Macaca fascicularis: one gene and its partners. The protein of the gene in region 2 interacts with the protein of the main gene of each other region in a biochemical or structural test. Links are inferred from orthologs where the notes say so. Each region holds a gene or a part of one and is shown on either strand. Other genes may lie near its edges. The genes, in order: RAB8A, OCRL and RAB31.

The links.
Region 1: the proteins of OCRL (region 2) and RAB8A form a complex in vitro, tested with the Homo sapiens proteins (2 studies listed by BioGRID and IntAct, with this or other methods). The link is inferred for Macaca fascicularis from reciprocal best matches to the Homo sapiens genes OCRL and RAB8A.
Region 3: the proteins of OCRL (region 2) and RAB31 form a complex in vitro, tested with the Homo sapiens proteins (2 studies listed by BioGRID and IntAct, with this or other methods). The link is inferred for Macaca fascicularis from reciprocal best matches to the Homo sapiens genes OCRL and RAB31.

Annotation. Positions count from the first base shown.
Region 1 is NC_088393.1:16,422,745-16,434,397, reverse strand, and holds the start of RAB8A (ras-related protein Rab-8A), read right to left. Parts: upstream 6,629-11,653; 5' UTR 6,610-6,628; coding exon 6,486-6,609; intron 1-6,485. UniProt on the Homo sapiens protein: The small GTPases Rab are key regulators of intracellular membrane trafficking, from the formation of transport vesicles to their fusion with membranes.
Region 2 is NC_088395.1:135,857,376-135,868,289, reverse strand, and holds the end of OCRL (inositol polyphosphate 5-phosphatase OCRL), read right to left. Parts: intron 9,403-10,914; coding exon 9,286-9,402; intron 8,223-9,285; coding exon 8,138-8,222; intron 7,515-8,137; coding exon 7,387-7,514; intron 6,584-7,386; coding exon 6,472-6,583; intron 6,283-6,471; coding exon 6,158-6,282; 3' UTR 3,881-6,157; downstream 1-3,880. UniProt on the Homo sapiens protein: Catalyzes the hydrolysis of the 5-position phosphate of phosphatidylinositol 4,5-bisphosphate (PtdIns(4,5)P2) and phosphatidylinositol-3,4,5-bisphosphate (PtdIns(3,4,5)P3), with the greatest catalytic activity towards PtdIns(4,5)P2.
Region 3 is NC_088392.1:78,163,445-78,172,566, forward strand, and holds part of RAB31 (ras-related protein Rab-31), read left to right. Parts: intron 1-990; coding exon 991-1,062; intron 1,063-2,088; coding exon 2,089-2,195; intron 2,196-9,122. UniProt on the Homo sapiens protein: The small GTPases Rab are key regulators of intracellular membrane trafficking, from the formation of transport vesicles to their fusion with membranes.

The DNA of each region.
Region 1 (11,653 bases), on a different chromosome or scaffold from region 2:
AAGGCGCATCACTGTCAGCCCATTTCCCAAGCTGTGTCTGAGCTGGGCGCCACCAACCTGTGCACGTGACAGTTGTCGTGGCTTATGGAGACCCTGCCTGGCACTGGGCATGCAGGATGTCGGAATATCCAGATTTGGAAACACTTGGAGATACTTCCCCTCTCCAAGGGCCGATGGGAGCAGTGCAGAGCAAACCCAGGGGGCATGGGTGGCAAAGCCTTGCTCTTGTCCCTTGCTGCCAGCTGACCCCGCCTCCCTGGCCCAGGCAGTTGTACAGAGTGGGTCTCAGCAGAGCCCTCTGCAGGCCTGAGTCCCTCGCTCCCCACCACCCTGCAGCTGACCCCCAAGCACACAGGGCCTTGGGTCCCACGATGCGTCCATGCACATGGTCAGTTTCTCTCTTGCCCCCAGCTTTTGTACACGCTGTTCCTTTTCTGCAGGTGGTCTGTGTCCCACCTGCCCATCACCTGGGCAAAATTCCCCTCCTTTAAGGCCTCCTTGAAGATCACCTCCTAACAAGCCTTCCTGACCCCATCCTCCTTGTCTCTCACCTCCTGCTTTCATCCCCTTTCCCCATGGTGACCTTGCAGCCACCTTGATGTTCCCCAGGCTCCCACTGTTCCCCCTCAGTCCCCTCCCTAGCCTTCAAAAATACAGCCCTAACCACGTTACACAGCTAACCTCTGCTCCAAACTTTCTTTCTTTCTTCTTTTTTTTGAGACGGAGTCTCGCTCTGTCACCCAGGCCAGAGTGCAGTGGCACGATCTCGGCTCACTGCAGCCTCCGTCTTCCGGGTTCAAGTGATTCTCCTGCCTCAGCCTCCCGAGTAGCTGGGACTACAGGTGCCCACCACAATGCCCGGCCAAGTTTTGAATTTTTAGTAGAGATGGGGTTTCACCGTGTTGGCCAGGCTGGTCTCGAACTCCTGACCTCAAATGATTCGCCTGCCTCGGCCTCCCAAAGTGCTGGGATTACAGGCATCAGCCACCGCACCCGGCCCTCTGCTCCAAACTTTCTAGTGTGTCCACCAACAGATGAATGGATGAACAAAATGTGGTCCAACCATACAACGGAATACGACTCAGTCATAAAAAGGAACGGAGTACTCTCGATGCTACACAATGTGGATGAGCCTTGAAGATAGGATGCTGAGAGAAGCCAGACACTAAAGGTCACTTAGTATGAGATTCCATTAACAGACATGTCCAGAATAGGCTCATCCATAGGAACAGAAAGCTGATTAGCAGTTGTCTGGGGCTGGGGGAACATGGGGAAATTGGAAGGGTTGGTGTCTTTATTTTATTTTTTATTTTTTGAAACGGAGTTTCTCTGTCACCAGGCTGACGTGCAGTGATGCGATCTCGGCTCACTGCAACCTATGTCTCCCGGGTTCAAGTGATTCTCCTGCCTCAGCCTCCCAAGTAGCTGGGACTACAGGCATGAGCCACCATGCCCAGCTAATTTTTCTATTTTTAGTAGAGACAGGGTTTCACCATGTTGGCCAGGCTGTTCTCGATCTCTTGATCTCGTGATCTGCCCACCTTGGCCTTCCAAAGTACTGGGATTACAGGTGTGAGCCACTGTGACACCGTGCGTGTCTGGCCTTGGGTTGGTGTCTTTTTGGCATAATAAAAATGTTCCCAAATTGCCTGTGGTGATGGTTGTGGAACTCTGTGAATGGATCTAAAGCCACTGAATTGTACACTGCAAATGGGTGAACTGTATGTTAGTATGCGAATTCTACCTCATAAAGCGGGGTTTTTTTTTTTTTTTTTTTTTTTTAAGGCATCTTTCAGTGGTTTCCCTGCCCCACTTCCCTTGAATAAAGTGGAAACAGGTACCCGTGTGTGTCGAGGTCCTGCCTAATCTGGTCACCTCTCAGCACTCTGGCTCATGACCTGCTCGCTCCGGCCACACCATCCACACAGCGATTTCCCTCAACATTCCAAGCACGCTCCTGTCTGGGGGCTTTGATGTTTGCTCTTTCCTGCCCTGGAAAGTTCTTTCCTTCTGTAGCTACCTGGCTATCCCTTCGTTCAGGTTCCCATTCAAGTTCCCTCCGCAGGGGAGCCTTCCTGACCATCCTCATCCGTTCTCCCTTTACCTATTTGTTAACATAGCTGACATACATTTATGTATCTCCTGCATGGACCTGGGCATAATGCTTGCAGATCATACTGGCCCATGTGGATGAGAGAAACAGCCAGACCCAGCCTTTGCCACCAGGGGTTTGGTCAAATCCCTGCCGGAGAAGACTCGAGGCCCAGGCCTGGCTGGGCCTCTCTGAACCCAGGTTGGGAATGCTAATTCTGTCCAGTCAGCTTCAGCACTGGAATTTCGCCGTCTCAAACGTAAGCTCCCTGGGGGCAGGTATCTGACAAGTCTCATCCGCTGCTATTACCTCCAGTGACTGAACACACAGAGGCTGAATATGCATTTGCTAGAAGCTGGTACCCCAGTCCTGCAGGCACCTTAACTCACTTGTGTCCTCTCTGCAGCCCTCGTGCCAAAGCGGCTGCCTGGCCCACAGAAGGCACTGGCAAAATATGGCTGGATCAAAGAATTAAAGCGCAACAGGGTCTACGTGGTGTTGAGTGGTTCACAAAGCACTTTCTCAAATGTCAACCCTCTCACTGGAGGAATGAATGGACTCCTGAGGAGGCAGTGGCGCCGAGCCAGTCTGGTGAGAACCCATTCCAGGGAACTACAGGGCCAAGTTCACACCAGAAATAATCGATGGGACTTCTGAGAATAGGCTTTGATGAAATGGAACTTTTGGCAAAATGTTAAGGATTGAGTGGCAGAAAATGAACAGCCACTCAATCTTCGTCTATAAAGAAAAACCCAGAGGTGCCCGCAGCCAATATAGAATCACCTTTTTTTTTTTTTTTTTTTGGAGACAGAGTTTTGCTCTGTTGCCCAGGCTGGAGTGCAGTGGCACGATCTTGGCTCACTGCAACCTCTGCCTCCTGGATTCAAGCGATTCTCCTGCCTCAGTCTCCCGAGTACCTGGGAATACAGGCAAGCGCCACCACGTCTGGCTAATTTATGGAATCACCTTTAAGCATCAAGGTGATTCTGCTTCAGGACTAGACAGCCCAGTGTGCCTAGGCTTCCTAAAACATTCCCCACTTCCTGTCACGCGTGTACAGGGACACACAAAATCGAGGAGCACTGCTAGGCTGGCCAAGTTCCACAGCAGCACTCCGCCCTACACTCCTCTGGGTTTTATTAACATGCCAAATTTAATTACGAAGTGTAAACTTTATGAGGCCTAAGAATTATGAGGCCTGAACTTCAAGGTCATGGTGAATTAGAAATTCCTAGAAGAGGCCGGGCGCGGTGGCTCAAGCCTGTAATCCCAGCACTTTGGGAGGCCGAGACGGGCAGATCACGAGGTCAGGAGATCGAGACCATCCTGGCTAACACAGTGAAACCCCGTCTCTACTAAAAAATACAAAAAACTAGCCGGGCGAGGTGGCGGGCACCTGTAGTCCCAACTACTTGGGAGGCTGAGGCAGGAGAATGGCGTGAACCCGGGAGGCGGAGCTTGCAGTGAGCTGAGATCCGGCCACTGCACTCCAGCCCGGGCGGCAGAGACTCCGTCTCAAAAAAAAAAAAAAAAAAAAGAAATTCCTAGAAGACAGAAGGCTACAAATGGAAGGAGGGGAATGAAGGGGTGAGAGGGAGGGATCCTGGGGTCAGGTGCCACCTTCACCTTGCTAGGTAACTTTCACCAAGTCACATCCTCATCTGCAAATGGAAGACAGCCTCTTTAAAGCTCAAAGTAACTCTAAAGAGGGGGGGTCTGGGCTGGGCGCAGTGGCTCATGCTTGTAATGCCAGCACTTTGGGAGGCCAAGGTGGGCGGATCATGAGGTCAGGAGTTCGAGACCAGCCTGGCCAACGTGGTGAAACCCTGTCTCTACTAAAAAAAAAAAAAAAATACAAAAATTAGCTGGGCATGGTGGTGGGCACTTGTAATCCCAGGTACTCAGGAGGCTGAAACAGGAGAATTGCTGGAACCTGGGAGGCGGAGGTTGTAGCGAGCCGAGATTATGCCACTGCACTCCAGACTGGGTGACAGAGCGAGACTCCATCTCAAAAAAAAAGAGGGGGGGTTTGTGGGGAAGGTGCTGAGGCCGGGAAACTGGGATCTGAGTGAAGGCAAGCCACAGTCTGCCCACAGTTAACATAATTTCTTTCTTTCTTTCTTTTAAGATAGGGTCTCGCTCTGTTGCCCAGGCTGGAGTGCAGTGGCGCCATCACAGCTCACTGCACCTTGACCTCCTGGGCTCAATCAATCCTCCCATCTTGGCCTCCCAAGTGGCTGGGTCTATACGGGTAAGCCAGTATGCCCGGCTAATTTTATTTTATTTTTTATAGAGATGGGGTTTTGCTATGTTGCCCAGGCTGAATTAACGCCACTTCTTGATCGGTTGGGGCACAAGAGTTACCCTAAAGTTTGGCCTTGGAGTTGGGGAGGGGGAAGAATTCAGAACCATCTGTCTTCAGAGGCTGGATGCTGTCACTGCAGGAGCCATTCATTCATTTGCTTCTTCGAGATGGCCTCTGGTTACGGTGATAACCCCTTATTGTCTAATTCTAATCCTCAACCACCAGGGCACTAGCCCAGGAGACAGCGTCACTCCTGCTCTAAAGACAGCAGGGCTCAGAGAGGGGCAGTGTATGTTCAAGGGCAAACAGCAATTGGAAACCAGACGTAACGATTTCCAGTCAGTTCTCTCTACTTTACATCAGGCATATAACTGTTTTATAAAGCACAGCTATCCTGGGTGCAGTGGCTTATGCTTGTAATCCCAGCACTTCGGGAGGCCAAGGTAGGTGGATCACAAGGTCATGAGTTTGAGACCAGCCTGACCAACATAGTGAAACTCATATTTACTAAAAATACAAAAATTAGCTGGACGTGGTGGCGGGTGCCTATAGTCCCAGCTACTAGAGAGGCTGAGGCAGGAGAATTGCTTAAACCCGAGAGGCGGAGGTTGCAGTGACCCGAGATAGCACCACTGGATTCCAGCCTGGGCAAAACAGCTAGACTCCATCTCAAAAAATAAAATAAAATAAAATAAAATAAAATAGAATAAAATAAAATAAAATAAAAAAAGCACAGCTCCTGGAGGGGGGCAAGAATGGAATCAGCACATTATCGTGGGGTTCAGGGAGAAAACATGATTCTGTTGAAGTGACACAGTAAAGCAAAGGCCATTCCCTACGTTTTCGTGACTTGGAATAAACTCCTTAGTGACCGTTCCCCCATTTTCCCCATCCCTAGCAGGGCTACAGAGCTCCCAGGCCACTCAGACTGGTGTTACTCCCCGGTCTAACCTTTTCATTGTGGGCCAGGACTGCTTTTGTGGCACTGAGAGAGGTCAGTTCCACTTCTGCAGACGGCACAACTGAGATGCACCAAGCCAATTCTGTTCAACCACAATGTGGGCTGGCCCTACGGGAAAAGCTGTTCTAAAGTGACAACCGGAGTCTTGGGCCCTTTGATAGGGAAGTCAAGGCTGTCTGTGGCAGTGGCTGATTTAGTTGCTCGCTGAGGCTTTTATCTTGCATCTTCTTGCAGATGACAGGTTCCAGGGCAGGCAGTGCTGTCACTTGTCATTATTGTCATCCTGGAGCAGGATGAAATGTGGGCAGGGAAAAGGTCCTGACTCCTCTTATCATTCCTTCTAGAGGAAAATACACTTATGAGGGGAAGAATGGTCAGGGAGAGGGGTTCAACTTCTGAATGCTCCAGAGAAAAGAGCAGGAATGGTGTGGGTTACAGTTCCGGCTCCAAGGTGCATTAGCTGAGCTTGTCATCAGCTGGGAGTGTGAGGTGGCATCTCTCTAGGATAGCTAAGCCTCGAGTTTTGGGTTGAGACACAGCCAGGTTCAAATTCCATCAAATCCCATTCTCACCACCTGCAGACTGTGTGGCCTTGGGCAAGTTCCAGGCCCACCCTGAGCCTCAAATTCCTCATCTGTGAGACGGGCTCAAAACAGCACTTAACACCGAGAACTGGAGAGTGTGAAAATGCACGGGAAGCACTTGGCACATAGTAAATGCTCATTAAGGTGAGATGTTACCGTCTTTTTCCCATGGCCAATTCCCCATGACTCAGTTTCCACTTCTGTAAGGCAGGAGCCTCAAAAGAACCGCTTTGAGGGCTGCTGCTAGGACAGATCGAGAGGACGGGCGCGAAGACCCCAGCCCAGGACATAACACTCCCTAACGAGCGGGCTGAGGGTCGGAGCCTCAGTCTCCCCATCTGCAAAATGGGCACCTGGTCTCCCCCACCACGGCCCAGGAACCCCCGAACGGCGGTACAGGCGACTGCTCTTCTCCCCTTAGGCCCCCTCGACCCTCTCAGCGCCCTCGGCCAGTCCAGCCCGGTAGATCCCTCAGCCCCAGCCCCTCAGGGGCGCGCCCAGCCCGGGCCTCTGGCGCCCCCAGCCACTCCCCGGTCCCGCTACCTATGGTGGAGATAAAAGTGGAGTTGAAGGCGTCCTCGGAGAAGCGGAACAGGACACAGGTCTTCCCCACCCCCGAGTCCCCGATCAGCAGCAGCTTGAACAGGTAATCGTAGGTCTTCGCCATATTACACTCTCTCCCCGACGGGAAGTGCGGCCAGCGCCTCTCCACTGGCCACCAGCACCGTCCATCAGCGCCGAGCCCGCCCCTTATTGGCTCCAGGCCCGCTGCGCGTCACCGCGGCCGACGCCCGCCCCTGCGTCCCGCCAGTCGCGGGGAGACCTGGGGAGGGGGCGAATGGAGCGCGGAGCCGGAAGCAGCCCGAGCGCACCTCCCATTGGCCGGCACTAGGGAGAGGACGGGCTCTGATTGACCAGCAGTGAAGAGTCGTGGGGCTTCAAATGGGGACGAGGCGGGGGCGTGGCATTATGTGGCCCCCGCCTTCCACCCCCTACTCGGGCGGCCCGGCCCCGCCCCACTACAGGAGAGGGAACGCAGGGAGCGTCGCCAACGGCTCGCGCGCCGGCAGCCTGGGGGGCGGGGCTTGGGGTGCGTGCTCACGCGCGCCCGGAGTTCCGTTAGGCGACGGCAGAGGGCGCAATCCTGTACTTGGGGCGGGTATCTCTGGGTCCCGCCGTCACAACTCGCGCAGGCGCAATAGGCCCCGAGGCGAGCGCGGGAAACCATGGTAGCGCTCTCAACCTGATCTGCGGCCTCCGAGTCGGGGCAGCGGGGGCCGACGGAGGAAGGAGAGAGGAGACACTGTATACTCGAAAAGTGACCCGGGCCGGGCGCGGTGGCTGAAATCCCAGAACTTTGGGAGGCCTAGGCGCGTGGATCACGAGGTCAGGAGTTCAAGACCAGCCTGGCCAAGATGGTGAAACCCCATTTCTACTAAAAATACAAAAATTAGCCGGGCGTGGTGGTGGGCGCCTGTAATCCCAGCTACTTGGGAGGCTGAGGCAGAGAATTGCTTGAATCTGGGAGGCGGAGGTTGCAGTGAGCCGAGATCGCGCCTTTGCACTCAAGCCTGGGCGACAGAGCAAGACTCCATCTCAAAAATAAATAAATAAATAAAAGTGACTCAAGACGAGTTCCGAGGTCTGCGGCCTAGCGACCTGCTTACAGATACCCAAGGCCTCCGCCACCTGAGCGGCTTCACCGCCACAAGCTGTGCCCCGAAGCGCGCGCCGGCCTCCTCAGGGTCCGCCCTCGGCCGCTTTAGGAGTTGTCCGGGCCAGCCCGGGGGGTTTAGAACAGTGAGGATGCTTTAGAACAGTGAGGATGCTTGTTCCTATCTAGGGGCCAGGACTCTCAACACTGAAAAAACAGGCCGGGGCTGTGGCTGCCACCTGTGATCCCAGTGCTTTGGGAGGCCAGGAGTTTGAGGCTGCAGTAAGCGGTGATCGTCCCACTGCACTCCAGCATGGACGACAGAGCGAGAAGCCTCTCAAAAAAAGAAAAAGGCCGGGCGCGGTGGCTCACGCCTGTAATCTCAGCACTTTGGGAGGCCAAGGCGGTCGGATCACGAGGTCAGGAGATCGAGACCATCCTGGCTAACGGTGAAATCCCATCTCTACTAAAAATACAAAAAAGCCGGGTGTAGTGGCGGGTACCTGTAGTCCCAGCTACTCGGAAGGCTGAGGCAGGAGAATGGCGTGAACCCGGGAGGCGGAGCTTTCAGTGAGCCAAGATCGTGCCACTGCACTCCAGCCTGGGCAACAGAACAAAACTCCGTCTCAAAAAAATGAAAAAGAAAAAGAAAAGAAAAAGAGGAGAGATACATTAGGAAAATCGGGCTTGCAGCTGGGTGTGGTTGCTCAGGCCTGTAATCCCAGCACTTTGGGAGGCTGAGGCAGGAGGATTGTTTGAGCTCAGGAGGTCGAGACCAGCCTGGACAATATAGGGAGACCCCCATCTCTACAACAAATAAAATTAGCTGGGCGTGATTAGCACGCTTGTAATCCCAGCACTTTGGGAGGCTGAGGTGGAGGTTCACTGGAGGCCAGGAGGTGGAGACCAGCCTGGGCTAAACATAGCAAGACCCCCATCTCTGCAAAAAAAAAAAAAAAAGTTTTTTGGCCAGTCGAGGGGGTTCACACCTGTAATCCCAGCACTTTGGGAGGCCAAGGTGGGCAGATCACTTGAGGTCAGGAGTTCGAGACCAGCCTGGCCAACATGGTGAAACACCGTCTCTACTAAAAATTCAGAAACTAGGTGGATGTGGTCGTGCACACCTGTAGTCCCAGCTACTCCAGCGGCTGAGGCACAAGAATCGCTTGAATCCGGGAGGCAGAGGTTGTAGTGAGCCGAGATTATGTCACTGCATTCCAGTGTGGGTGACAGAGCAAGGCTCCGTCTCAAAAAAACAAAAAAAAATTTTTTTTAAATTATCCGGGTATGGTGGTATATGCTTGTAGTCCCAGCTACTCAGGAGGCTAAGGTGGGAGGATCCCTTGAGCCTAGGAGGTCAAGGCAGCAGTGAGCTGTGATCGCACCATTGCACTCTAGCCTGGGCGACGGAGCAAGACCCTGACATTTTTTTTTTTTTGAGATGGAGTCTCCCATGATCGCCAGGGCTGGAGTGCAATGGCGCGATCTCGGCTCACTGCAACCTCTGCCTCCCGGGTTCAGGCGATTCTCCTGCCTCAACCTCCCAAGTAGCTTGGATTCTAGGCACCCGCCACCGCGCCTGGCGTGGTGTATTTTTTTGTATTTTTGGTAGAGATGGGATTTCACTGTGTTGGCCAGGCTGGTCTCGAACTCCTGACCTCGTGATCTGCCTGCCTCCACCTCCCAAAGTACTGGGATTACAAGCGTTAGCCCCCCTGCCTGGCCCCTGACTCTTAAAATTTTAATCCCAGTACCAGCCCAGCAAAATGATGTTATTGGTTTTTTCTTGTTTGATGGTCAGAAAACTGAAGCCAGGAGGTTAAATGACTTTTTCCCCCTTCCCGCTTAAAAGTGGGAATTTGGTATCTGAACTCAGAATGCCAAGCTTCCCAGGCTGCAGTTTGATCACTAGGGCTCGCTGCTTCTTAGAGATGGTCCAGTCTGTTTTAGGTCACTCTGGGGCCTCCGGGGCCTTGAGGCTCACTTAATCTGTGGAAGGAGGGTCCAGCTTTTCCTCCTCCCTTCCACTTCAGCTCATTCTTCTGCTAATCTAGCTCTGGTTAAGAAAAGCTTCAACCAGAGACACTGACCACTTTACATGCCTCAGCCTCTGTGGTATTTAATATTCTTGACCACCTCTGAATATTCTTTTTTCTTGGTATTATCCTCATTTTATTTACTTATTTTTGAGACAGGGTCTTGTTCTGTGACCCAGGCTGGAGAGTGATGGTGTGATTTCATTCACTGCAACCTCCGCCTCCCAGGCTCAAGTGATTCTCCCACCTCAGCCTCCAGAGTAGCAGGAACCACTGGCATGCACCACCACGCATGGCTAATTTTTGTTTATTTTTTGTAGAGATGGGGTCTTGCTATGTTACCCAGGCTGGTCTGGAATTCCTGGGCTCAAGCCATCCTCTCACCTCAGCCTCCCAAGTAGCTGGGACTACATCTGCATGCTACCATGGCTGGCTAATTTTTTAATTTTTTGTAGAAATGGGGTCTCCCTATGTTGCTCAGGCTGGTCTCAAACTCCTGGGCTCAAGCGATCCTCCAGCCTCCACCTCCCAAAAAGCTGGGATCACAGGTATGAGCCACCATGCCTGGCCCTATACCATTTTTTTTTTTTTTTTTTGAGATGGAGTTTCACTCTTGTTGCCCAGGCTGGAGTGCAGTGGCGCAATCTCGGCTCACTGCAACCTCTGCCTCCCGGGTTCAAGCAATTCTCCTGTCTCAGCCTCCTGAGTAGCTGGGATTACAGGTGCCCGCCACCACGTCTGGCTGATTTTTGTAGTTTTAGTAGAGACATGGTTTCACCATGTTGGCCAGGCTGGTCTCGAACTCCTGACTTCAAGTGATCCACCTATCTCGGTGCTAGGATTACAGGCGTGAGCCACTGCACCTGGCCTTTTTTTTTCTTTTTTTCTTTTCTTTTTTTTTTTTTTTGAGACGGAGTCTCACTCTGCCACCCAGGCCGGAGTGCAGTGATGTGATCTCGGCTCACTGCAACCTCCGCCTCCTGAGTTCAAGCAATTCTCATGCCGTAGCCTCCCAAGTAGCTGGGACTACAGGTGCACGCCACCAAATGCCCAGCTAATTTTTGTATTTTTAGTAGAGACGGGGGTTCACCATGTTGGCCAGGCTGGTCTCCAACTCCTGACTTCAAGTGATCCCCCCAAAGTGCTGGGATCACAGGCATGAGCCACTGTGCCCGGCCCTGTCCCTATTTTATTTACTGGTTTCTTCTCCCTGCCACCTCTGCCTCTGCCTCCCCTTCTTTGGTTGTTTTTTTTTTTTTTTCTCAGACCCCATTGCAGTCTTTTTGTGGGGAGGTTCTGCTTGTCTCTCAGCGTTTGTGTTCCTTGTTGTTCTGTCTCTGTTCTCACTTTCTAGGGGCTCCTAATGTCTCCTAATGTCTCCATTCTGACCAGTCTTCGTTTTTCATCCTTAGCCCAGCCGTCTCTTCACGTCTACCTGCGTTCTGGACGTCTCCCTTTTGATTTGTGAGATACTCCTGGCTCAGCATGTTCACAACTGAACTCATCAGCTAATACCCAGACTGGCTTGTCCTGATTTTCCTTGGGAGTGAAACTTAAGCCATCTTTGACAGCTGCCTTTCATCTCTTATCTGTCACATTCTGGTTTTTAAGGAGGTTCTAAATAGCTCTTGAGGGCCCGCACGGTGGCTCACGCCTGTAATCCCAGTACTTGGGAGGCCAAGATGGGCGGATCACCTGAGGTTAGAAGTTTGAGACCAGCCTGGCTAACATGGTGAAACCCCGTTTCTACTAAAAATTCAAAAAATTAGCTAGGCATGGTGGGCACCTGTAATTCCAGCTACTCGGGGGGCTGAAGGCAGGAGAATGGCTTGAATCCGGGAGGCAGAGGTAGCAGTGAGCCGAGACTGTGCCACTGTGCTCCAGCCTGGGCGACAGAGCAAGACTCCCTCTCAAAAATAAAACATTAAAAAAAAAATAGCTCTTGAATTGCATTCTTCCATTTCCATTGCCACAGTGGAATCATTGCATTTCTCCACTGGTCTCCCTGAGCATTTTCTCTA
Region 2 (10,914 bases):
ACAGAAGTCACGTCGCTTCCCTGAGTAAAGGCAGCCATGGCCTCCTGTGGTGTCGAATGAAATGCAAGCTCCTGCCCGAGGTTCCTCAGGCCCTCTGTGACCACGTTCCTGCTCGCCTGTTGTCCAGCAAGTCCTGTTCCTCACGGAGTTCTGCCTGGCTGTCCCCTGAGCACAGCCAGCTGTTTTGCTGCCTCAGGGCCTTTGCATTTGTCTTTTCCTTTGCTCCGAATGTCTTTTGCCAGATCTTGCACGTGTGGCTCTTTTTGTGGGTATTCAAATCAAGATATGGTGCCTTGGCTTCCTGAGGTTTAAGTCTCAGCTAAAACATCACCTCCTCAAAGCAACTTTTCCTGACCAAGGCCCCCCGCTGTACCCTCAAGTGCATCCCCCTGTTTGATACTCTCCACAGTACTTGTCAGGATCTGTAGTGACCTTGGGTACTGTTAATTTGCATATCTGTCCACCCTCATCCCTGCCCTGCCCTGCCCTCTTGATGAAGGCACCATGAGAGCGGCAACCTTATCTGGTTTACTTCTAGATCCTCAGCACCTTGAACAGCATGGGGCACACAGGAGCCACTCAACAAATACTTGTTAAATGAATAACCCATACTGAGATGTAAGAGGAGGGGTGATGGTTGAGGGGGAAAAGTCCAGAGAGGGTGGAGGAGAAGGGCTCAAAAGTGCAGGTGGAGGAGCTGGTCTTGGCGAGGAAGACCGCTTATTTCTCAGACAGATGGAAAGAGGGAGAGATGAAGTTAAGCTGGAGACATTTTGATGTGCAGGGGGCAAGACTGTTTCGACATTTTCACAAAGCAAAGGGTACAGTCATCTGCTGGGAGCTGAAGGGCAGCAGAAGTGGGTTCTGGGCCTGGAAGTCAATGGAGGGCTTGGGAATAACTCCACTAGCTGCCATTTATTTAGCACTTAGGCACCAGGCACTGTTCCAAGGCCTGGAAATGTATAACTGATCTCATCCTCATGATGATACTACGAGGAAAGGTGCTATCATTACTTTTAAGATGTGGATACACCTTCAATACATACAATTTTTCTTCTCAATTATACCCAATAAAGCTGGGGAGAAAAGACATGGAAACCAAGGCACAGAAACGTCAATTAACTTTTGATCAGGGTCACATATCTAGGAAGTGGCAGAGCTGGGATTTGAACTCAGGCAGTCTGGTCATTGGAGCCTATGTGAAGAACCACTATAGTTTTCTGCCTCCCTAGGCCCCGTGGAACAGGTACGTGAGGTCATCAAGAGAGGAAGAGGAAGATTGTGGAAGAGTACATGGCAAGTCCAGGGGCAGTCAGCCAGAACGTTGTACCAGAAAGCCCAGGAATGAGGGCAGAGAGTCAATGGGACAGGGTGGGTGACTTATGGTTAGGCACAGCAAAGATGGGGACTGAGGCAAGAGAGAGAGAGGAAGGAGTTTTCTGGGTAAACAGCACATGCAAAGGCCCTGAGGTTAGAAAGAGTTCAGCTCACCGGGAGGGGTAAAAGGACAGTATCAGAGTATAGTGGCAGGGGTGAGGAAGGCTTATGGTAGGCAGAGGTCAGATCCTTTAGGGTGGTATTCCTCAAAGTGTGGTCCAAGCACCCCTGCATCAAAATGCTCTTGGGTCCTGATTTAGAATGCAGACTCTGTGCCTTATCTCAGACCAACTTACTCAGAGTTTCTGGAGTCTAGGAATCTGCTTTTTAACAATGTCTCCAGGTGATTCTTCTGCACATGAGTATTTGAGACCCACTGATGCAGGGCCTGGTGGGCCACAGGGAAGCTTAGGTTTCATTGTAAATGTCACTGAAGGGTTATCCACAGGGAAGGGATGAGACTGATGTAATTAAGTCATGCTGCCTGCTGCGTGGAGAATGGATTGGAGGGCAGAAAAGCTAAAAGGAAGACCAGGCAGGGCATGGTGGCTCATGCCTCTAATTCCAGCACTTTGTGAAGCCAAAGTGGGAGGACTGCTTGAGCCCAGGAGTTTGAGACCAGCCTGGGGAACACAGGGAGAACCCACCTCTACAATTTTTTTTTTAATTAGCCAGGCTTGGTAATGTGCACCTATAGTCCCAGCTACTCGGAGGCTGAGGTGGGAGGATCGCTTGAACCTGGGAAGTCAGGCTGCTCAAGTGAGCCGATCATGCCACTGCACTCCAGCCGAGGCAACAGAGTAAGACCCTCTCTTAAAAAAAAAAAAAAAAAAAAAAAAGAGAAAAAGAAGACCAGGCAGGAAGCCATTACAACACCCTCGTAATGGTGGTGGCCTTGACCAATAAAATCGGCAGTGGGGGTGATGAAAAGTAGATGTGTGGGGCACGCTGCTGACGTGGTCAGTCAGTAGGAAACAGAGAAATCAAGGCTAGCTCCTAGATGCTTAGCCCTAGCAACTGGCCAGATGGTGGTGACATTCTCTGAGCTGAGGGGAGACAGCTAGAGGATCTAAGTTGGGTGGTAGTAAAAGAACCAGAAGTAAAATAATTCTACTTTGGAAATGTGAAGCTTGACATGCCTGTGATACATGTGAGGGGAGATGCCAGCTAACTAACTGGATATACTGGGCAGGAACTCGGAAGAGAGCTATGAGGTGGAAACGTAACATTTGGAATCAGGGTATTACAGATATTTACAGCCACGGAAATTGATAAGATGCCACCAAAGGAATTAATGGGCAAGCAGAGTAGAACTGTTTGAAAAAAAAAAAATGCCACTATGCCATGCAGTGTCACTAACCTAAGTAATCTTAGGTCAGTCATTGTCCCCTCTGAGACTTTCCCTATCCAAACAATGAGATCAGATTAGGTCATCACTAAGGTTCTCTCCCTAACATTTAGTGATGCCACTGTTGTAATGTGTGGCTTTTACATTATGAGGCTACACCAAGAGCCAGTTCTTCAACTTGCACTGCAATCAGAAAGGCCCTACTGGGTCTCCTATAACAGAAGCCTAGCAGCTGGGGATGCCATTTCCTCTCTAACCTCTGGAAAGATAGACCACCATGCCTGCTATTCACATTGCCTGCTGCTATGTAAAAACTTCTGGTGTCAGTGTCCATCTGCTGGGGGGAAAATCACTCTCAGAAAGAAACACCTTCTCCTGCCAAGGCTTTGGGTGGGGCTTCAAAAGTTGTTTATGACAACACTGAGTCAGCACATTAAGCAGGGTCAAGCTCACAGCTGGAGGGAATTGGAAGAGGGCCTTAGTAGAGAAGAAACCTCCAGCTGTGGCTTCTTCAGCCTCAAAGGGAATGGAATCAGAATCCACCAATTCATAATGGAGACTGGCACCATGCTCAAATCAGGGGTTTCCTCCCAACATGTTAGACAGTTCAGATGAGAACAACAAAAAAGTACTAAATTTATGGACTTGATCACCCCAATAAGTCATAAAAGTTCAAAACTGGTTTTCAAAAGCTGCAAAATAAGATTATGTTAAAACAGGCTCTCTGGGGAGGCACATCTTGAGACTATGTGAGCAGGGGTAACTGGGTTCTCCCCAGATGTGCATCTTAGGGTTTGTCAGGTTTCTGGGGCTGGAGGGATCACAGATCTGACCTAGTGTGACATTTACATGCATTAAGAGTCAACGTCCTTTCCTCTAATTCAGTTGTTTTGTTGCCTGAATCCTTAGGGTTAAAATAAGGGTACTTGGCTGGCCTCTGAAAGTATAGGACGCCTTTATTAGCCTCTGAAAATGCATGGTTTCTTCTCATCTCTGAGGGTGAATATACCAAGAATTCTTATAAATGGTATTTCCCTGTAAGACAGGTAATGACAGTACAGGCACAGCTGATGGGGACTGCAGTCAAGTCGAATGGAACCCAGTGACACATAAGCCCTCCCTCCTGAGTGCTTCCTCACCAAAATCACACTTTGCTTTTTCACACAACATATATTTATTCAGAAAAAAATTTGCAATAAATTATAATAAAAAAGATGACACGAAATATAGAATCCCACTAGCAGCTTTGCTTAGTGATCAAGACTTTTTGGGAAATCTAACAAACAATTATAGAATAAGAAAACAGTGAAAGGGAGACTAACGCAATGTCACCACATGGATTTAAACCATTTCTTCCCTAAGACAGCAGGTGCAGAGTCTTTCCCTACCAGTTGAATCTGAAATCATTACTTCAGAGCAGCTACAAATTAGTACCTTAGAGGACTTGGGAATTACAGGTGGGGTGTTGCAATAGGCATGGTAGGGAAGCAGATTTCTTCCGTCTGGGTCTACGTCTTGTCTCCTCTACCTAGAGATTGTCTAAAATTCTCAACCCTGTATATGTTCCAGGATGAGGTGTAAAAAGGTCGAGGCAGTACACCAACTTAGTGTTTTGACCTGATGTAGAAAGAGATAGGATACTGCATACGTGCAGCACAGAGCCTCCACTAACCACACCCTTGATCACCCAAAGATCCCAGGTCAATGATATGCTAGAAAACAAGCCCAGGAAAGGTATTTCCCTAGGGTATGATCCTACCCCAGTGTCTATTATCTGCCTCTTTTTGTGGTCACTTTCTGGCCTTGCGGAGATGACAAACCTGTTCTGCTCTCAGTCTTCCATTAACTAAGTTCAACACCCAGCCCCTGACCTATCATACCTCCAGCTCTGTCGCACCAGTAACTTGACTCCTACTGCTTTAACTCTCAATCAGGAAAGCGTTTAGCCGTATTGCAAAATACGTACTTTTTTTTTTTTTTTTTCAAGAAATGGGGGAAATCACTGGTGGTGCCTTGGATATGCTAGAAATGTCATGGAGTCAATGCCCAGGATCGTACATAGAGCCTGTACGTTATGTTCCTTGCAATTAACGTAAACAGGCAAGGGTGGTTGTAACAAAAGAAAACCAGGAGGAAACCAATTGCATCAGGCAGTTTTGCAGTCAGTGGTTGGTGGCTCATCAACCAATATAGATTAATTTTTTTAAAAAAGGCTGTATCACAGAGTTTGAATAAATGAAAAGCTCAGAGGGTCATCTTGGATGGGAGAGGTAAGGTGCTTGGTTGGTCCTATTGGCCAATCTCTTTACACAACACTGGATATGGTCTGGGAGCCAAGGGGAGCCTCTAAACCCTTTACGTGCAGGAGCTGGTTGTAGAGCACAGAGTCAGTCCCGCTGAGGAAGGAGGTAACACCTGCCCTTGGTACTTCAGAAGACCAGAAAACGGATTCTAAGGGTCATCCGCAATACCTTTGCTGTGGGAAGGATCAATAGCTCTAGATGGGCCTGCCTGAGGTACAAGACTCCCTCTTTTACTGTGGGGCCAGTGTTGCTCTGGAGGTGGATGTCTAGGCAGGAGATGGGTCTCAGAGACACCCAGGATTAGTCTTTCTGTAAAATTTGAGTAACAACAGGAAAAGGATAGTGGGAAGCAGGACCTGTCAAACACGAATGCTCTCACTCTTCAGATACTCAAAGTGCTTCCATTCTGATTGTGATTCTCTCACATCGATGGGATGCCATCTCTAATAGTCCCTAAAGTTATGCTACTAAATGTGATCTAAGAGAATATGGTTCCACCCAGTGCGGAGCCATGAAAAGGCCAATGTTACAGAGACATGAAGATGCCATTGTAGTAGAAATGCACAAATGCATGTAATAACTGCACGCAGACAGTGAACTCACTGTTGAGGACACCCAAGGAGTCACTAGCCTCACTCAGACTTCGTTCAAAGTGACAGAACGAGGGGAGTGGAGTGCAAAGGAGTGATCCGGGAAGGGGTGGGTCAAAAGTGCATTATACAAAGGACTCTAGACAAGTCTCAGCTACAGCAAGTAGTGCTTGTAGGCCTAGAATGGGAACATCTCAGAATCTAGGCCTAGGGTACTAAGGACAATCATGACAATTGGATAGGAGGGCAACAAACACATCCCTAGGTAAAGGAGTGTAAATACAGATCTTTTTGCCTTATAAAGAGAAAACACAAAAACACCAAAATATGGTAACTTTGGCTTGGCAATATAAGTCTAAAAGTATTTTGCTGTGGAGGATATGGTAAAGGAGGGATTAGGAAACACTCTTCCTTTTTACTATAAACAGAACTTGAAATTCTGCAATAGACCCTTCCTGTGGCATGACTTTTAAAATCATTCTGAAATACTTGGAGCCCGAGATCGTCTGCTTCTAGAATATCAGAGAATAGTAAAAGCCTTAGTCTTCTTCGCTCCCAAGCAGAAAGCCCAGAAGGAACTGAATAGCACGCTGGCGGTCACTTGGAGTCTGTCTTGCCATAAGGTTGGGTGGAGGCCTCAGGAGAAGACTAGTGAAGAGAGTAGCTAGAAGACGACAGAAAGACAAGCGGAAACTTTTGTCAGACATAACCTAAGCAAAACCTCAGGGCAGGAGGGCCTGGGGACAATGACTGTTGACTGCCATGTGCCTGCACACGCAGTAAGGTATATACTGGATACAATGCATGAAGAGTATTCTCAACAAATGCCCCATGCTGCATGAAGCACTCTTACCGATCATGTTGGCATTGACGCTATTGTATTCAGAGAATTTTAAGAGTTCTCGAAGGAATGCCATCAAGTAACGGAAAACATTTCTATGGCATCTCGGAAGCTGGGAGATCACCTGTTTTTAAAAATAGGGGTAGGCAGTGAGAAAAACAGGTGGAAGATGAAAGTAAGAGGAACTTACAGCTGCCATTAATAGTAGTCTATAATCCAACTCTTGCAGGACCCGTTTCATCTATCAACTTCTATTATCTCCTCATGGCCAACACAACACCTTCCAAATTATAACTTCAAAGTAAGAACGGCCGTGCTGTTTGGTCCCCGTCCACTCAATGACCAGGCCACATGGTCATCACACATTCACACGCACACCCCGCCTCACAATAGGTCGGTGTTCATCTGCTCTTTTCCCATTTCCGCAGGCATGTAGCCACGGCACCTACCAAGCTGAATGGTTTTCTTTACAATGTCACTTAACATGGATGGGGACTCCTCCCAATACTCACTAGTCCAATTCACAGGTACTCTCAGTTACTGTGCATTAAAATCATTTCAGGATTAAAAACACACACCAAGAAGAGAAAAAGAAGAAAGGCTCCCAAGTGTCACCCATCCTTCCTGGTAATGTCAGCCAGAATTCCATGTACAATCAGCTTCACCAATTTACCCTAGAGTAGAGGGATCCACCCCACTGTTTTCTGTAAACAGAAATAGGCCAATGGGGAAAAGGTGGCAAATATCATAGGAAATAACACAACCTAAAATTTAAGGGTAGCAACCCTCAATGTTCGTGTCCTGCCACTAATAACAGATCCAGACCCATCCTACCAGACAGCTGGCTGCCTATCTGGCTCTGTAAAACTGATGACTTCTCTATGGGGGAACCTGCGTCAAACACATCCTCAGGTCAGTGGAACCCACCTGTCGGCAGATCCGGGGATCATGAGCAGAGTCAAGACATCGCTGATACAGCTCGTAACAGATGACTGGCTCTGGCAGGGCTTCCAAGAAAATGAGCAGTGCTTCAGCCACAGAGTGGTTGCTGCCAGCTGAATCAACTTAAGTCAAGGGAAAGGGGCTCCAGGAGAAAGGCCACACAGAGCCCCGACGGGCTCCTTTCCTCAAGCTCCTGCAGGGACTGTTTCCTTCCTCTTATTTGGGGCACACTGATCCTAATGGGGGCTTGATATTTTATTGATTCAAGTGCCCTGCAGCTGAGTTGTTACAGAATTGGTCAAAGACTCTTGGCAGCTTTGGCCCAGCTTCAGGGTCAGGGGAATATAGCCTGCAGAGTGACAGTTGACACTGAAGCAGTCCTATAAACCAGTTGCCCATGTTTCCCATCCTTCTCCCTGCCCTGTCAACAGTACGTGTGGTGGCAGGAGTGACTGATCACCTGAAGGAGAATAGTACCAGCGTTGTGGCTTCTATGTCCCATGCTTTTTAAGTCATTGTTATCTACCCCTTGCTTCCTTTTAGTAAGAGCTGGATATGGAAAGAGGTCAAAAGTTCATAAAAGGAAATGAGAAACAAGTGGATAGTCAGTGGTTATCCTACAATAAAAGACATTACAAAGAAAATAAATATAGAACCACAAAAAGCAAATAGAGGTGCGAAGAAGAGTTTGACCAAGCACTCATCCAGCTTCTTATGCTTTGGTCGCAAAGGATACGGATTGTCTCAGGAATGCTGGTATCCAGACAATCAATGATCTGCTGGAGTTCTTCCTGCATTCCAGGGGTCTGGAACAGGTCCTCCTACCAAAGAAGTCAGAATGAAGGGAACAGGCAAGATAATCACTCCTGAGGTTATGATGATTACCCAAGGATCAGAAGAGCAGCAGGAAGCAAAAGGGAAGGGTGGTATGTGTGTTAATAATTACAAATGGAGGTGTGAAAATAGCACATTTTTCCTTTAGCATTTCTCTAATCCATGTGAAATGTTATTTCAAATAAGAAAATGTTCTTTCCAAAGGTTTTAGCCTACACCTGATAAGGCAGGGGACCAGATGGCTAGAGCAAGAAACCAGGTGTTCTAATTCTAGCCTCTTTTTAAATTTTTTTTTAATAGAGATGGGGTTTCACCATGTTGCCCAGGCTAGTCTCGAACTCCTGAGCTCAAGCAATGTGCCTGTCTTGGCCTCCCAAAATGCTGGGATTACAGGCATGAGCCACCGTGCCTGGCCTACTTGCAGCCTCTTGACAAGGAGCAGAAGGCAGAGTCCAAACAGAATAACCACATTCAAATGCTAGTACTACTGAACGCTGGGGAAGGAGGAAATTGCATGCTCATACTAAACCTTGCTTTCAAGTTACATTATTCTTCAGTAGGTAAGAGAACATTACCTTTCAATTTAGTCCCAAGAAATGTCTCTTTTGGGGGTGAATGAGTTGGGGTGGCATTTTAGATAGGATTTAAAAGAAAAACTAGGACCAAGTTAAAAAATGGGTTTAAAATCTGCTTTAGATTTAAAAATCTCTAATGCCTACATGACTCATAGCCAAAGTAGGCATTATAGACTCAGGTGTGCAGCTGTCCAGGGAAAACGAGAGAGTAGCCAGGAGACAGGTGCTCTTAATTTGGTCCTGGCTCTGCCACGACTACACTTAGGCCTTGGTCTTAGTAAATAACTTAGCTTTGCATGCTTCAGCTGTGACATCTGTGACCAGGGACACTTCCACCCACCCAGTTGATCTGACAGTGCCACTGTGTGCAGGTAGCTTGGGAAAGTTAAAAGCGCTATGCTGATGCGAGGTGTTATGATTTCCTATAGTATTTACACACCTTCCAAAGTTGTAGGGAAGGTCTACTCTCACTTACCTGGTGACAGGCATATTTGAATAGGTGATCTACTAGAAGCCAGATCTCCTTGGGGACCTGAAGGGGTCTCTCACTGGCACCTTCATCCAAAGGAACCATTTGCAGAAGGGATTTCTCCTAATAGATGGAAAAGGATGAGAATCAAAGGGGTCTCAGAATAGAGATTTTGGTGTATAACTTAAAGTCCTTCAAATTCTGGTCATGCAGGTACAATGTGATCTTCATCTCTTAAGATTTTCCATTTCTTCTCAGTGGGGACACCCCTGGTCAGAAGGCACTTGATAGCGAGTCCCACAGTTAAAGGATGTCCTTTCCTAAATGCTTCACTTAATTGTTCTGCATTTCATTTGAGTTTATGATGTTTATTACATGGATGCCTTGTGTTTAAATCCTTTCAAAGGTGACACTGAGAACCAGTGCTCCAGTGATACAGTCACAGTGGAGTCCATACAGCACTGGTGACTTGGGGGGACTATTAAATTACAATTGTCAATATAGTACTTTGAGAGATCAGGGTCTACACTTAGGTATTTGTTTATTTCTAACTTACTCTTCCTTCAGGTCTTACCACAGATACTGTTGTTTGTTTTCAATGTTGATTTAAATGAGCTTCTTTGGTTTTCAGGAATTAAAGAGAACTCTCCACAACATTAGACCCACATATGTAAATATTTCAGGCTTGATGGAAGTTCTAATCTTAAGGCACTAAAACTCATAAGCCTTAAGGTCCAAAAATAGTAAACTGAATATAGCTAACCAAGAGGCAGAAATACCATGAAAAGTCTAAGGTCTGAGTCCAGAAGTTACATTTTCTAGGAATAGCTCAGTCAAGATTTCTAGGGGCTTTTACTCCTTTCATCTATCTTTCTACTATCTGTTATATTCTTCTGAAAGAATTTTGTAAGAGAAAAACCCAGAAGTGGCATAAATTAAATCAAAACTATATGTGAATTGGAAATGGCTAGGAAATAAATTCAGTTATCTTAGGTTCATGTAGTCAAATATAAATTACATGAAAAAATGTTTGAAATAGTAAAGGCATCTGAACGTAGCCTTCAGAAAAATCCCAGTGGAGAGAACTATGACCAAATTTTTTGCATCCTCCTCCCTCCCCCGCCTCTAGCTTGAGGTCATATATATTCTGCATGTTTAACTAAGAAATTCTTGCCCAACATTGTGCAACTTGTGAATTCCATCCACAACCCCCAGTCACGTAGCTTTAAAAGAAAAAAAAAAAGGAGCATGTCACTACTTTGACAGAGACCACATACACCACAGCCGAGCTGAGGTCTCTTCTCAACATTATGTTCTTTAACAAGCATTGATGACCTTTAAAAGCTGCTGTGCCTTTCTAAGGGAATAAGAAAGAGAAGGGAGTGTGACAGTTGGTTACCATTTAAAATCTTTCTTTTTTTTTTTTCCACATTCAGTTTGCTTCCTTTCTGTCCCTGGGATTCTATCACTTGATATTCATGTTGCTAATAGTTGCCAGAATGTCTATCAATGGCTCATCCATTTACTTCTTTCCAGTTGCAAGTATCAAATCCAAGCATCCACATGGTATTTGAGCCAAAACACTGTCCATCTTGCACTCTGCTAACTCTCTGGACCAAATGCAGCACATGTACT
Region 3 (9,122 bases), on a different chromosome or scaffold from region 2:
CAGATTAAGACTGGACCCTTCTCCAAAATACATATGAAGTGCATGCATTCTGAGACTAATGAGCTCCCCTGTCTGGGGATGAACGATGCTAGTGACCAGCGGCACTTGCTTTGTTAACATTTTGGAATGGAGCTCCTCTGCTGTCTTGTCATTTGTGGACCTTAGGTAGGTGAGGAAGCCCCACGTTGGAGAGGTGGCAGCCCTCCAGACCCGAAGCAGCTGCTGCCAAAGCTGCCCTTGCTGATTGGTCTTCATTAACGGCTCAGCAAGGGTCCTGTGATCTTTGCTAGTGTTCCCTTTCCCTCTCCTTGCCATACTTCTTTCCTTTACTGCTACATAATTCTAATGAGATTGCCCTGGGTCGGTCAGTCATATTGGAGAAATGATGAGCAGCAGAGAAAAGAACATTCACAAGATGGTAACATTTAAAATAAAATTTGTTTTTGGCTTTTACCCAAGAGTAGATTTCATGGTCAGTAAGCCACAAGTATATATATGTGTTGATGAGGAGGAAAATGTCTTATTTAATATGAACCCTGGGGCTAGGCGTAGTGGCTCACACCTGTAATTACCAGCACTTTGGGAGGCCGAGGCAGGTGGATCACCTGAGGTCAGGAGTTTGAGACCAGCCTGGCCAGCATGGTGAAACTCTGTCTCTAATAAAAATAGAAAAATGATCCAGATGTGGTGGCGCATGCCTGTAATCCTGGCTACTCCGGAGGTCAAGGCACAAGAATCGCTTGAACCCAGGAGGTGGAGGTTGCAGTGAGCCAAGATTATGCCATTGCACTCTAGTCTGAGTGACAAGAGTGAAACTCCATCTCAAAAAAATAAAATAAAATAAAGAATAACATGAACCCTGGAAAAATTAGATGGGGAAGGAATTTAGGGATCCTATAGGGATGATGTAGGATAAAACTTTTATGTTTAATTTGGGATTGAATAAAGTCTGTTCACTTTGGCCTAAAACTGTTCATTGTTCTTAAACAGTTTCATTCATTGGCTCCCATGTACTATCGAGGCTCAGCTGCAGCTGTTATCGTGTATGATATTACCAAGCAGGTAAGACTGTCTCCTTCAGAATTTAGATGTCATTTATGGTGGTTCTCTCTCTTAGAGAGACTGAAGCAAAGACGTCACTGCTTGCGTCTTCCCAGTAGCGTGCCACTATATATTGAGTTTATTTCGTGTATATGTAACAAAGCATCCCATATTTATCTGCTAAATTAAACAACAATGACCATTCATTCTTAAAATTGACTGTAGAGGCAAAGTCATGCCTGCTAGTACTATTCTGCAGAATGTCAGCTTTTAAAGAAAAGGAAAATCGTTTTTAATTTCTGCATGCTTTATAATTACAGAATACTTATTTTTATTAGTGTTTCAATCATACTACTTACTTAAAATGCCAAGCATAACATTTGTGTGCGTGTAAGTAAATCTTTGTGTGTTTGTGTACATATTATATATTTTTAGTTATAATGTTGAAGGTTTTATACTTCCATCAACAAATAACTGCAGTAGTTTGATGACATTTTTTCCCACTCCTGCAAATTGAATTATTTGCTTTTTTTCTCTGGAGTGTTGACTCAGCACATAAGACCATCAGTTTAATGACCCATCACTGTTACCTTCCACGAGTTCCTGACCACTTCTACCTAAATGTGGTGTGTTGCCTTTGACCTGTTTTCTAGAGGACAATTGTGAGTGAAGGGCCAACAGGAAGACAGGACTCTAGAGATATATGATTCTTTCTTGGTGTAAGCATGAGCATTTACTTAGTCCTGTTATTCTTATTCATGCGGAGTCCAGGCAATCATTTTAAGTTAACATTATTTATAGGAGAAAAATCACTGATATGATTTTCTTAACTAGATCAAGTTTTAATTTTAGAAAACTTTACATGGTCTATTAAAGTGTATTTCAGCTAACATTAACTTTTGTGCCTAGACAGAGGTAGTATGTTAATCTGCATGAGTCTCCTAAAAATATTTTTCTCCATTAAATTGTACTGGGCTTGTATTTCTGCTTGGTTGAAATATTATATTGAGGGGTTTTTCTAATGATTTGTGTATACTGTTGGTTTAGGATTCATTTTATACCTTGAAGAAATGGGTCAAGGAGCTGAAAGAACATGGTCCGGAAAACATTGTAATGGCCATCGCTGGAAACAAGTGCGACCTCTCAGATATTAGGTAAGACGCATTTTAATATCTTTTGTGTAGATATTTTTTTTTTTTTTTTTTTTTTGAGACAGAGTCTCACACTGTTGCCCAGGCTGGAGTGCAGTGGCACGATCTCGGCTCACTGCAAGCTCCACCTCCTGGGTTCACACCATTCTCCTGCCTCAGCCTCCTGAGTAGCTAGGACTACAGGCGCCCGCCACCGCGCCCGGCTAATTTTTTGTATTTTTAGTAGAGACGGGGTTTCACTGTGGTCTCGATCTCCTGACCTTGTGATCCGCCCGCCTCGGCCTCCCAAAGTGCTGGGATTACAGGCTTGAGCCACCGCGCCCGGCCCTTTTGTGTAGATATTATCCTCCATCCCTGAATGTCATCCCTGAGTGTACAAAGGTATCATGCCTTTGTTATGTCTGCCCTCAGTGTAATAGTTAATGGCCTTTCACTTGTGGTAGTCAACGTGTCATTGATTCAACCAGAGAAGAAATAAGGGAAAATGATAGGGAAATGCAAATCTGTTGTACCATACAATGATAAATGTTAAAATTATAATTCCTGTACATAACACAGTTACATCCCTGACTCTACATATCTTTGGGCTAAACGGTTTTATTATTTCTATTGTTACTTTTTCCATTTTTATTATCATTATGACTACTAGCACAATTTTAGTAACACTATGGTAATGGTCATCCCTATCGTAATGACCATTAGAATTCTTAAAATTTTTCATGGCATACCTGTTTGTTTTAGTTCTAGATTTTACCTTAAGAATATAGTCAAGTACGTAATCTCACTATTTTGTTCTTAAATCAGAATATGACACATTGTATGTGAGTACCTTGACTTCCCCCAGTGGTACTGGGTTATTGAACTTCCCGTATCTGAAAGGAGGTTGTGGGGATCCAGTACACATGAATTAGAGATTTGATGATAGCTTTGCCTAGCCTGGTAAGCTAGCTATTTTACTAAATAAATACATTATTTAAAAAAGGAAATAGTGAATTTGTGGTATCTCCATTCTCTCGGTTAATTTAATTCTCAGGAATTCTAGTAGCTGATTTTTATAAAGACAACTACATCATACTTCTGGTTTTGCTGATCAAAATGTGATTAAACCAAAGCGAAATAAATAGTCGATGGAAATGGATCTTGCAAAAGCTCTTAACATAGCATTTAACAAATTGTTCTGTTTCTTTGGGATTTCAAAAGTTTGTATCACCTTGCATCTGGTTGGTTTATAATAACAGCCATAAACACCACTTAATCGTTTATTTTTCTGGGATTTGGACAGATCTTCAGACTTCCCAGACTTAGTTCAGATATCCACCTCCTTTACTGTAAACCTCAAACAGCTTGCTTGTCTAGTGTTCCCAGCAGAATCACCTTAACCTTGGTCATGGGAAGGATGAGGTGGGTGTGTAGAGACAACCTTTGCTGAGAGAAGGTGCTATCTCTAAAACCCCCTAATTATGGGACTAATGTGCACCTTTGAGTGGAACCAAGTTTTGTGTATCGTGGGAATGCTGATGGACTAGAATTTAAGCAGAGAACGATTTAAACTTGCATAGTATCAGTTAGGATTCTTGGTTACGTGGATCCAAAACACAATTGAAATTCAGGAGAAAGGGGAATTATTGGAAGGTACTGTTATCCACATGGTAAAAACAGAACTGCCCTCAGCTCTGGCATTTGACATGTTCCAGAGTTAGTCTCTGGAGAGATGCTGGCCTGGCATTGTCTTCATTTCCAGTCTAAAATGCCAGGGAGGAACTCCCCACGTTAAGAACAGGCGTGTGTGGCCAGGAGGGGATTGGTAGTACGAGATGGTATTTCCCAACATTACTATGAGAATGGGAAGGCAGGTGGTCTTGAAGAGGGATAGCTCCTAGAAAAGTGTAGCCTGGCCAGACAAAACTTATCTGTGACATATAGATGTGGCTACCAGCACTCAAGGATACGCTGTGTTTCGGGGTGGAATTCACCTTTTATGCACAGGTACAGCATTCTTCTTGATGAGCGTTCTGATTTGTGCTCAGCTGATTCTTATATGTGCAATTTTCAATGTGCCCCAGCTAACATAATCTATTCATCTCACTTCCAACTGTGAATTAACTTACAGCCTCTCTATCCCAGTGGGAGAAAATGCAGGGCCATCCAGCTGCTACCTGTAGTGGTGGTGTCATGGGGCCACTGTCCCATGCATCCAGCCTCCTTGGTAATATCTTTTCTCCTCTTGTCTGGCCTCAGTGAGGTCTGAATGTGGCTCCTTGAGATCCTGTAGTTGTGTTTTAAAGTGTGGCATGTATATCTTTTGTTATACACAGTTATTTTAGATGGTACGCGTTATTGAATCAGGCAACAAGAAGCTGACTGCCTTTAAAACTCTGATTAGGTCAGTGAGAAAGACTAGTTGGACACTAATTCATTGTAAATTTTTAGACATTTAATATGTTGTATTGAGGTAAATTACAAAACATCACGATCACCTGTTTTAAGTGTACCGTTCAATGACTGTTAGTGTATTTTTAGAGTTGTACAATCATCTCATATCTAATTTTAGAACATTTCCGTCACTCTGTGAAGAACGTCATGCCCATTTATACTCACTCTCAATTTCCAACTCCTTCCAGTCCTGGTAATCACTAATCTACCTTTTTGTTCCCCTAAATTTGCTTTTTCTGGACATTTTGCATAAATGGAATCATACAATATGTGGTCTTTTGTGACCACCTTCTTTCAGTTAAGCATGTGTCAGTGATGCATTCATTTTTATGACTGAATGGTATTTCATTGTATGGATATACCACATTTTATTTATTCATTTACACATTAACATTTGAATTGCTTCTACCTTTTTGCTATTATGAAAAATGTTTCTATGAACAATCATGTACAAATTTTGTGTGGATGTATGTTGTCATCTCTCTAGGCTATGTACCTAGGAGTGGCATTTCTGTGTCATATGATAACTCTTTTTAATAATTTTAGGAACTCATAAACTGTTTTCCAAAGTAACTGCAAGATATCCATATCCTCACCAACATTTATTGCCTTTTTGATTATAGGCATCCCAGGGGGTGTGAGATTGTGTCATTGTGGTTTTCCTAATGACTAATAATGTTATAGTAAATATCTTTTCATATGTTTATTGGCCATTTGTATATCTTCTTTGGAGAAATGTCTCTTCAAGTCCTTTGCCTAATTTTTAGTTGGATTGTCTTTTTATTATTGAGTTGTAAGGGTTCTTTATGTACTCTGAATAAAAGTCTCTTATCAAACATATAATTTGCAAATATTTCCTCTCATTCTGTGGATTGTCTTTTCACAATTTTTACTGTGTGCAAAAGTTTATGTCCAGCTTATCATGTTTTTCTTTTATCTCTTGTTCACAAGTGATTGGCTAAATGGACATCACAAATATTTATTCATGTTTTCTTAGTGCTTACATTTAGGTCTGTCATCCATGTTGAGTTACTTTTTGTATGTAATGTAAGATAGGGGTCCAAATTAATCTTTTTCCATGTGGATATCTAATTACCCCCACACCAGTTGTTGAAGAGATAGTTTCTCTCCCATTGAATCTTTTGGGGTACTTTTGTCTAAAACTAGTCAACCACGAATGTGGTCTTATTTTTTATCCTCTTAACTTTATTAGTTGATCTACACATCTGTCCTGACACTAGTGTTATACTATTTTGATTGCTGTAGCTTTGTAGTAAGTTTGAAATTAAAAATTGTGAGTCCTTCAACTTTGTTCTCTTTTTCAAGATTGTTTGACTATTCTGGACCCTTAACATTTTCATATGAATTTTAGGATCTATTTCTTAATTTCTGAGAAACAAAAGGGAACTTTGATTTTAATAGAAATTATGTTGAGTCTTTAGACCAATTCAAGTGTTAATCCCATCTTAACAATTTTAAGTCTTCCCATCCATCAATGTGAAATGTCTTTTCATTTTATTACGTCTTCTTTAATTTCTTTTAGCAACGTTTTATAGCTTTCAGTTTACAAGTCTTGCATTTGTTTTATTTATTCTTAAGTATTTGATATTTTTTGATGGTATTGTGAATGGGATTGTTTTCTTATTTATGGCATTGCTTTTGGTTAGTGTGTAGAAATACAATTGACTTTTGTATGTTTATCTTGTATCCTATAACTTTCCTGAACTCGTTTATTAATTTTAGTTGTTTTTTAGTAAATTATCTGGAGTTATCTATATATGAGATTATATTATCTGGGAATAAAGACTATTTTACTTCTTTCTTTCCGATATGGGTGCCTTTTAGTTCTTTTTCTTGACCAATTTCTCTGGCTGGAATCTCTAAAACAATCTGGAGTAAAAGTAATGAGAGTGCACATTCTTGTTTCTTCCTGATCTTAGGGATAAAGCATTTAGTCTTTCTCCAGTAAGTATCACACTACCTGGTTTTACATATATCCTTTTTATTCTGTTGAAGAAGTTTCCTTCTGTTCCTAGTTTGTTGAAGGTTTTTTGTCATGATCGAATGTTGGATTTTTTCCAAAACAATTTTTGCATATGTAATTACATGTTAATTGATTTTTGGATGTTAAACTAGTCTTGCATTCCTGGGATAAATCACACTTGGTCATGATGCATAATCCTTTTTATACATTGCTGGGTTTAGTTTGCTAGTGTTTTGTTAAGGATTTTTATGTCTATATTCTTAAAGGATATTAGTCTGTAGTTTCCATTTCTTACAATATCTTTGTCTAGCATTGGTATCAGGGCAATAACAGTCCTATAGAATGAGTTGGTAAGAGTTCCCACCTCCTCTGTTTTCTAGAAGAGTTTGTGAAGGATTGATGTCATTTCTTTTTGTTTCTCTACATCAACCTGGTCTCCATGATGTCAATTCTTTTTTTAAATTTTATATTAGATTTATTTTTTGAAAGATAAGCATTGTGTTTTAAAACACATGACAATACTATATGATAACATGTAAAAAATTAAATGGTTCCTTAATATCAACTATACAGTGTTAAAATGCACTTTGTTTGAATCCGGAAAAATGGAGTCTATACGTTGCAATGAATGGCAGTTACATGTCAATCTTTTAGTCCATGGGTTACCCCTACCCTGCCTTTTTTCCCTTTGAAATTGATTTGTTGAATAAACAGATTCATCTCTCCTACACAGCTTTATGAAGTCTGAATTTTCCTTGTTGTTTCCTAACGGTGTTATTTAACTTTTTCCCCTATGCCCTTTAAATAAATTGTTAGATTTAGACTTGGTCAGAGTCTAACTGTTGGTAATCTATTAAGTGATTATGGTTAGCAAAATGGTGACATTCAAATTCTGTCTTTCCTTCTTCATTTGTTGCATGCAGTGCATCCATAGAGAAACTTCCTCAAATCAACTACAATATTTAATTATACTGAGGTACAGTGTATATGAAAGAGTATGAAAGGGAAGGAAAATGTTTGATATATTCTGTATTTAGAAGGTTTTAAAGTAATGAAATGATTCTATAATACCCTCCCAAATGACCAATTAGGTTTTTTGTTTCATTTTAAAACTCATTAATTTAAACAAACTTTATATCTTTAAATTGCAGGTATTATTTTACTAATGCACAAATTGTCTAGTTTGTATGATGTCAATTCTTTAAGTGTTATCTAATTTGCTGTGTAGTTCATAGTATTCTCTTATAATCTTTTTTTCTTAATCCCACGACCATTTAAATAATCCTTCTAATTTGTGTAAGGTCAGTAGTGATGTCTCCTTTTCCATTCCTAATTTTAGAAGTTTGAAACTTCTCTCTTTTTTTCTCATTCAGTCTAGCCAATAGTTTGTCAGTTTTGTTGACCTTTTCAAAGAACCAGTGGTTTTTAGTTATTTCTTTTCATTGTTTTTCTCTTTCATTTCTTTATCCTCTAATTGTTATTTCCTTCCTCCTGTTTGCTTCAGATTTGCTTTGTTCCTCTTTTTCTAGTTCGCTAAGGAGAAAGGTTAGCATATTTATTTGAGATCTTTTTGAATGTAGGCATTTATAGTTATAAATTTTCCTGTAAGCACTGCTCTAGCTGCATCTCATAGGTTTTGATATGTTGTTTTTAACTAATCTTAAAATATTTTCTAATTTGTGTTCTAACCCGTTATTTATTTAATAGCATATTGTTTAATCTCCACATATTTGTGCAATTCCCAAATTTTGACTTTTCATCATTTCTAATTTAATTCCATTGTAATCTGAAACATACTTTGTATGATTTTAATTATTTTACATTTACTGAGGCTTGTTTTATGGCTTAGTATATGGTGTGTCCTGGGGAATGTTCCAAGTGAGCCTGATGCCACTAAGTTTTTAACACCTATTTTTATACTTGCTATTCTCCCTTAGAGAGAGAAAAATCTAAGATTGAGGGCCCTCTGCAGACAACTGTCTCTAACTAGAGTTTAATTATATTTTGTCCTTATCATATTTATTTTTAGGATTACATTCTCTTTATGATAGTTGACACTAGTGTTGCGTTTATGACAGTGATATAAAATTTATTTTAAAATATTAAAAAAGTTGATTTGTGCACATGACACGATTATCTACACAGAAAAGCCCAAAGAATATACCAAAAAAGTTCTAAAAATACTAAGTGGGTTCAGCAAAGTTGTGGGATACAAAAGCAACATGGAAAAATCAATCCGATTTCTATATATTAATACTAACAATAAATATGCAGAAACTGAAATTTAAAACACGGTATTCTTTACAATTGCTCCAAAGAAAATGAAATACTTAGGCATATATTTAACAAAACATATATAGGAGCTGTATGCTGAAAAGTACAAAATGTTGATAAAAGAAGTCAAATAAGACTTGAATAAATGGAGAGACATATTATGTTCATGAATTGAAATTCTCAACATAGTAAAGATGTTCATTCTCTTCAAATTGAGTTATAGGTTTAAATGAAGTTTC